2 linked regions of the Xenopus tropicalis genome follow. The protein of the gene in region 1 purifies or fractionates together with the protein of each later gene. This does not show direct contact. Links are inferred from orthologs where the notes say so. Each region holds a gene or a part of one and is shown on either strand. Other genes may lie near its edges.

What was found.
Region 2: the proteins of dhx15 (region 1) and gcfc2 purify together in Homo sapiens (co-immunoprecipitation; 3 studies listed by BioGRID and IntAct, with this or other methods). This does not show direct contact. The link is inferred for Xenopus tropicalis from reciprocal best matches to the Homo sapiens genes DHX15 and GCFC2.

Annotation. Positions count from the first base shown.
Region 1 is NC_030677.2:31,426,040-31,430,182, reverse strand, and holds part of dhx15 (pre-mRNA-splicing factor ATP-dependent RNA helicase DHX15), read left to right. Parts: intron 1-597; coding exon 598-791; intron 792-1,070; coding exon 1,071-1,230; intron 1,231-2,694; coding exon 2,695-2,913; intron 2,914-4,143.
Region 2 is NC_030681.2:145,834,531-145,838,673, reverse strand, and holds part of gcfc2 (GC-rich sequence DNA-binding factor 2), read left to right. Parts: intron 1-2; coding exon 3-79; intron 80-2,115; coding exon 2,116-2,182; intron 2,183-2,401; coding exon 2,402-2,548; intron 2,549-3,711; coding exon 3,712-3,836; intron 3,837-4,129; coding exon 4,130-4,143.

The sequences.
Region 1 (4,143 bases):
ATAATATAACTATTGATTTAACATCTACTGTATTAATATAGAAATAGCATATAACCATCATTCCTCTGCCCCCCAAGCATCAAAATCCTGACTGGCACAGGGATTGTTTTAGGGTTGGCAGAAAGAAAGAGCATTAGACCTGGATCCCATCATCAAAACATAGAGGAAAATGTTAATTGTTTTAGTTTTAGTGAATACTGTGATGCTCTCCTATATTATCCTATCAGGGTCGGATTGGGGGTCTCCGGAGCCCACCCCTCTGCATGCCTTGTTGCTTTTGCACCCGTTGTGGGGCAGGAGTGCCAGGGTGTGCGACTGAGTCAGTGGGGCCCTCAAGGTGCTCATGGTTCCCAGCTGGCCCACTCTGACACTGTATCCCAGCATCTCACCTATAGATGGGACCACAGCTTTCCTGCATTGCCAGACACCTCCCCAGGAAATCAATGCTCTTTGCTTGTTAAGTAATCTGTGTTCTGTATAAACAGGCACCACACACTTACATGTTGATGTTTGAGATGGTATAATCAAACTCTTGTAATGTACTTTCTCTTGTGAGTGCCTGGGACATATCCACTCTAACATTTATCATTTATTTAGATTCCACAGTGGTGTGTCGACTACATGAGGTCATTGCCTGGTCCCAAAAGAGGCGTTGCATGTACCCAGCCAAGAAGAGTGGCTGCCATGAGTGTGGCTCAAAGAGTTGCAGATGAAATGGATGTCATGTTGGGTCAGGAAGTTGGTTATTCCATTAGGTTTGAAGACTGCAGCAGTGCAAAAACAATCTTGAAGTAAGTTGTCTGAATTTTTAATTTTTTTTTAGTGAGCAGCTTTTTATTTCAAAGGCTGCAGGTTAGGAAAGAGGGGTTAGTTCATTTTAAACAAAATACCCTGTTTATAGGGGGTAAGTTAAGTAAAAAATGAACAGATTAAGTAATTGGAAAGAAATTGTTTTTGCGCAACCTGACAGGTCCAGGGCCCTCAAAGTTTTGTGTGCCATAGGCCTTATAGTTGAATTGTAGTGCTTTTTAAAAACTTTGTTTCTAATTTGTCTGTTTATTTCCCTTTAGGTACATGACAGACGGTATGTTACTCCGGGAAGCTATGAACGATCCATTGTTGGAACGCTATGGGGTAGTGATTCTTGACGAAGCTCATGAAAGGACCTTAGCAACAGATATTCTAATGGGTGTTTTAAAGGAAGTTGTAAGACAAAGGAATGACTTAAAGGTGAGTGTTCCTTCCTAATATGTTTTATGTAATTGTATTTAATTTAGTGTTTAGGGCGAGGTCACAGAAGTGGATAGCCGATTCTCTCCCTGCATTTTTTTTACAAGAAGTGGATTTGGTTGCCTACGCTTCTCTGTGTGCCACTGTTAAAAGCAAAAAAAACAAAAAAGAGGGGTGGATTGGAGATTGGCCTGAAAAACGTGAAAACTGACATTTCCCAAGTTGACCCCCATTCTGTGTGCCCACTTAGGCAGTTTCCATAATTTGTAATGCAGACACAGAGGAGCGTAGGCAATTGGATCCACTTATCTCAGCCTGGCCAGAAAACACAGGGCTAAGACAAGCGGATATAAATTTTGTGTAACCTCGCCCTTAATGTCTGGCATCTCCACCTGCAATTCTCTTTAGCTATATTCATCCAGATTGTGAGCATACAAAGTTGTGTAGGAAGCCAAACTGCAAGCATGATTGTAAACAATTACTACAGAGAAGTCCCTGTTTATGCATTAGATTAGGGCTAACTTGACAGACTAGTTTTTTAGTGAGATGAGGGCAGGGAATGAATGGATTCCTCTGTTATATTGCCGTGCTGTATGGGGAATTTCCAGAGAATATTCTGCTAATGCCACTACAAAATGTACTATCCCCCACAGAACACCTGTAAAGGGGTAAATAATGCAAGATAGTTCGCTTAAATTCTGTGTCATTGTTGCAGTTTATCCAGTTGACCAATGTGGCCAAAATCAGTAACCAAAAATGTGTTGTTTTCTTGTAATCAGGCTATCTAACAGATAGGTCTGATCTTTCTTTCAGGTGTTTCATGGCTTTTCAGGCCCCCTAGTTGTATTTCAGAATGAGGAAGTCTAATCTTCTCAGTGTAGCTGATCATTTATAGAGAGCTGGTTTATTCTTTTTCCCTGTTAATGTAATTACGTTTTTAAGACTTGGACTTGGTATAAGGATTTTATTTAGGTTTTTTTTTTTTTTAGATACCATGACAGCACCAGATATTAATCTGTCTCTTATTGGAAGTGATTTTACAAACAAACTATTATAGGGCAGTGTGCTCCAATGTCTCGTCTTGGGACATGCTAAATATGAACAAAGTATTCCTCTATTGGCTGTAATATTGCAAAAAATTGTAATTTTGTATGCTTAATGAAAACTAATCACATTCTTTCTTTTGTCTTTATTATCAATTTAAGCATGTGGCTTTAATATGTTTCACTTGATATTTTTGCCAGTAAATTTTACAGGGTCAATAAAGGTATCTCCGTGAAGTTTTAAGAAAATACCTCACTGATTTTATTTTCCCTAATATTATTCTTACAATTCTGTAAAGATTGCCTAGTTTTTTTTTTTTTTTTTTTTATAGGTTTGTCAATAGCCTTTAAAGTTTTGTTGAACATGTTGTTAACTTGCTGTTTGCGTCGGTTATATATTTTTTTCTTATTTCTCCCCCAGGTTATAGTTATGAGTGCCACTTTAGATGCTGGCAAATTCCAGGTATATTTTGATAGCTGCCCTCTTTTAACAATCCCTGGACGAACACACCCTGTAGAAATCTTCTATACTCCAGAGCCTGAGCGGGATTACCTAGAGGCAGCCATTCGAACAGTGATTCAGATTCACATGTGTGAAGAGGAGGAAGGAGATCTCCTGCTTTTTCTTACTGGACAAGAGGTTTGTAAGGAGGCAAATTATTTTGCTTTTATATTATCAATTAAAGGGGTGTCTCTATGCAAGCGACGTTATATAATCTAAGGCTTGTATAGGGTTTCCCTTTTATAGTAGTCATAGATGTTTTCTGCCGTCTGAGAAACACAATCTGTCCCCTTTAAAAGTGTATCTAGCAGCAATGAAACATTACCAGAGTTAGTCTGTACATAGTTACATAGGGTTGAAAAAAGACCAGTGTCCATCAAGTTCAACCCATCCGAGTAAACCCAGCACATCTAACCCACACCTACCAATCTATACACTCGCATACATAAACTATAAATACAACCACTAGTACTAACTGTAGATATTAGTATCACAATAGCCTTGGATATTCTGATTGTTCAAGAACTCATCCAGGCCCCTCTTAAAGGCATTAACAGAATCTGCCATTACCACATCTCTAGGAAGGGCATTCCACAACCTCACTGCCCTCACCGTGAAAAACCACCTACGCTGCTTCAAATGGAAGCTCCGTTCCTCTAATCTAAAGGGGGGGCCTCTGGTGCGTTGATTGCTTTTATGGGAAAAAAGAACATCCCCCATTTGCCTATAATCCCCTCTAATGTACTTGTACAGAGTAATCATGTCCCCTCGCAAGCGCACTCTTTTCCAGAGAAACCAACCTCAACCTCGCCAGTCTCACCTCCTAGTTTAAATCTTCCATCCCCTTAACCAGTTTAGTTGCACGTCTCTGCACTCTCTCCAGCTCATTAATATCCCTCTTAAGGACTGGAGCCCAAAACTGCACTGCATACTCAAGGTGAGGCCTTACCAGGGACCTATAAACGGGCAAAATTATGTTCTCATCCCTTGAGTCAATGCCCTTTTTTATACAAGACAGCACTTTATTTGCTTTAGTAGCCACAGAATGACACTGCCTGGAATTGGACAACTTGTTATCTACAAAAACCCCTAGATCCTTCTCCACACACTACCATTCAGTAGATAGTTCGCGTTTATATTATTTCTACCAAAATGCATAACTTTGCACTTATCAACATTGAACCTCATTTTCCAGATCCAGCATCGAGGTTCTTACTCATCTCCTCATAAAAGGCGACTAAATTAGTCTGGCAAGATCTGTTACGCATAAAACCATGCTGGCACAAACTAATAGTATTGTGAACTGCAATGTATTCAAGTACCCTATCCCTTATTACCCCTTCCAAAAGTTTTCCTACTACTGATGTC
Region 2 (4,143 bases), on another chromosome or scaffold:
AGGGCCTGATAAATTGTCTACTTTCAACAATGAAGAAAGCCATTGAAGATGATGTGTTTATTCCTCTCTTTCCAAAAAGGTAGGTCATTAGTCACTGCTAAATACACAGCCTTTTACCGCAGTATTGCTAAATAATAAATGCGATACAATAAAATAGGAAACCCAGAAGTGCATCTCTGCTCCTCCACATTTATAAACAATAGGGAAATCTGCACCTTGAGAGTAACCATTTCGTCACTGTTCTACCTGCAAATGCATGTTGGCTTGAAATGCTGTATTTTATATAGTGAATCAGCCATGCTCTAACAATAATGATTTAAAGGAACAGTAACACCAAAAAATGAAAGTGTATAAAAGTAACTAAAATATAATGTGCTGCTGCCCTGCACTGGTAAAAGTTGTGTGTTTACTTCAGAAAGTCTACTATAATTTATATAAATAAGCTGCTATGTAGCCATGGAGGCAGCCATTCAAAGGAGAAAAGGCACAGGCACATAGCAGATAACAGATAAAACACTATTGTTTTCTACAGAACTTATCTGTTATCTGCCATGTAACCTGTGCCTTTTTTCCAGCTTGAATGGCTGCCCCCGTGGCTACACAGCAGCTTATTATATAAATTATAGTAGTGTTACTGTAGCAAACACACCAGTTTTACCAGTGCAGGGCAACAGTGCATTATATATTTATTACTTTAAAGCTTTTTATTTTTTGGTGTTACTGTTCCTTGAACCCCTCAAAGCTCTCCACAGATCCCCATCTTTTGAGTCAGTGGCACTGCACATGCTCAATGTGTCTGGGCTGCTGTTGCAAAGCAAAGCTTTGAGGTTGTTGGAAATCATCAAGCAGGCAATGAGGTTCCATCTGCCAAAGAAGCTGATGCTACAGGGATGATAATTAAATTCTGATGCAGAATACACTGGATTTTGTGCTGCCATGTAACATGATTCTGGATTACTAATTAGACTTGTATTGTATCTTTCATATTGTGTATGTATGTATGTTGTGAGTCGGTCCCTAAGCTCAGGTAAGTGAGAACAGCCGTGTACTGGGAAGCAGCAGAATAAAATATGGGGAGCTACTGGTGGCATCTTCAAAGGCAAAGGTCTTCTAACATGGCTATGGTGGCCATGGCCTGCTTAAACTTTAGTTGTCCTTTAAGATGACTTCACAAATAAGAGCTGTTGTGTTTCCTGTTAAACATAAACAGCAAAGACTTATCTTAGAAGGACATCCTGAACTCTGGGCCCAACATCCTCTGTTTGCCAGACTGGTAAATAGAGAACAGAGCGCCTTCAAGATCAGTTTAAAGTATGCAGTCCCTTTCTCTTAATTTTTTTTTTTTTAATTTTGCTTGTGAAAAATATCTGTCCCTCTGCCTGTTATGAACTGGGAAGAAAATCATGGAGTAATCACATGGGGGGGAAGGGTATCTATCCGAGAGACTGGGGCTCATTTACTGAGACTGTCCCTTTGTATTTGTATTGGAAGCTGATTTATGGGCATTTCTGTACCTTTATACTATTTGGGAGAGAACTAGCTAATTAGTCCTAGTCTTTTATTAAAGGAGGAACTAAGCTCCATAAAGAATTAGTCTAGAGATAAAGAATTAGTCTAAATATGTTAAACATATTTTGGGATTCTGTACCAGCCCAAGGCCACCACAGCCCTTTAGCAGGTAAGGTCAACCCCCCCCCCCCCCCCCAAAGATGCCCCCAGTATCCCCCCATCTGCTCATTCCCAGCACATGCCCTGGGCTGGTCTCACTTATCTAAGCTTAGTGACTGACTTACAATATCCTGTACTTATATATAGAAAATAAAGTTCTAACAAAATAACAGATTCACGTTATATGGCAGCATAAAAACCAGTGTAGTCTGCATTAGAATCATCTCTGCAGCACAGCTTCTGTAAATTAAGTTTCTGTTGTGTTGATTCTTTTCAGTCCAATTTAGGACTGGTGCAAAATTTTGCACCAAATGCAGAATAGAATATTTTTCAACTTTACTTTGCCCCTTCTTGTTATTCGGTATTTATGTGATTTATGGACTTTAGGAGTATGGTGCAGTTACTCATATATTTCTCAATTCTTTTCCTCCCACATTTCCTTAATAGACTTTTGGAAGACAGATTCTCTCCGCATTCAAGATTCCAAGAAAGGCGTTTCTGGTCTGCTGTGAAAGTAAGTGATGGACATATGGGTATATAATAAATAAATATATATGTATGTGTGTGTGTCATATTACATATATGAACTCAAGTTATGTCTCTTCTGATACAGAACATGCTAAAATATCATACTGAAGCTTTGAAGTAAGAACATCACTTCATGCCAAATTGATCCATTTGTAACTTTACTGGAGTGAGCTCTGATTTAATTTCTAATGCTTGTTCTTCCCAGATGTTCCAGAACGTTCTTTGCTGGGATGGATTCCTCCAAGAAGAGACCCTGCAAGAGCTCAGCCTTGATAAGCTGCTTAATCGATACCTACTGCTAGTAATTCTGAATGCAGAGCCAGGACCAGACAGTGTGAAGAAGTGCAAGAGAGTAAGTAGCCACTCACCGTAGTGCCCTTAGTAACTGAAAAGATCCGGACTGGGATTCACAATAGGCCCTGGCATTTCAAGTACACAGAGGCCCAAACAGCCCCCCACCACTCCAATAAATAGTCAAGACAAATTACAGAGCACTGATCTGTATTTTTTCTTGAGTTGGTGGCCAGTGGCGGAACTGCAAAACAGATCAGCAAAGGAAAAAATTCTGAGGGTTTACTTTCCTTTAAAAAAGTTTTTGCATATCAAGTTGAAGTCCTATAAATAGTGAATGCCTATGGCATCTTACAAAGCCCCTCTGGCCATTGATTTATAGATCCTTTCCTTGCACCTAAGGGTAAGAACCCATGGAGCGGTTCTATCGCCCGAGATAGATCTCTGCTATAGTGGGTGACCAACCATTCCGAAAAAAGCTTTCCACCGACAACAATAGGAGCAGAACAGATGGTTGTCCAGCAGTAAGTTTACAAGCTTATTGTCTCTCAGAGGGATTTTTATGGCCCCCAGCTTGAGAGGTTCCTTGATTTCATAGTATGTCATCATCCTTTTAGTAGAATTCAGCCCTGAACGTGCAATATGAGAGATAATTTGCCCCCCTCCAAGCTGAAAAGCATAGGACTGTGCCAAGATAAGAATTGTTCTGCCGTGACTTCATTCTGCAGGAACGAGCCATTAGGATCGCTTATAGTCCTACAACTATATAAGCACGGGGTTCCTCTGTACTTACCACAGATCTGCAGGGAAGTTCATAGGGTTAGGACCTATCAGGCTTAAGAAACACATATATCAGGGCAAGAATCAGCCCCTACGCTCTGATGAGCTTTTGGATGTGCCTACACACACATCGGATTTCAGCACTGAAACAGGTGAGTTTGCATTTCAGTGCCAAAATCCATTTTGTGCCCTTGCATTCAGGCCGACACAGTGGCTCTGGGTCCAGGCCCATGGAAAGGCTGTTCAGAGCACTGGGGCTGATTTTTGGCCTGCATTTATCTGCAGGCCACGTGTGGCCATTGCCTTAAACATGTGCCTCCTACTAACAGTAACAGACTTTCCTTACTTCCCAGTCTTCCACTGTCATTCAAACAGGATAGTATTTTTTAACAGTATTTTCTTTAGCAGTGACCTCACTATATCTGACCATGCCTTTTCCTGTAGGTGGTTGAATGTCTCCCTCAGAGCTGGTTTAGGAACCTTGAGAGTGGATCATCTCTTCATCGCTTACTGAATTTCAGCAAACACCTACTGCAGTCTATTCATACTCTGCACAAGCTAAATGACAGGTAAATGCTCTGCTTCCTTTCCCAGCATTCTCTCTCTGGTGAGGGGGTGGGGGGTGGGGGGCATGTTGTAGTTCTATACTGCAATTAATTTGGGGCAGGGGGGTGCATCTGCAACCCTGCTGGTTGTCCCTTCAGTCAGTACATATGCAGTCGGCAAGATCATTTCAATGTGCCACATAGAAGTAGTAGTTATTACAGCCGGACATTTTATTCGTCATTTACAGTTTGTAGTATTTGTTTGGAGAATGTTGTCGCCATAATGTAATAAGTATTTGTACTCTCTCCCATTTTAGAGAAAACATGAAGA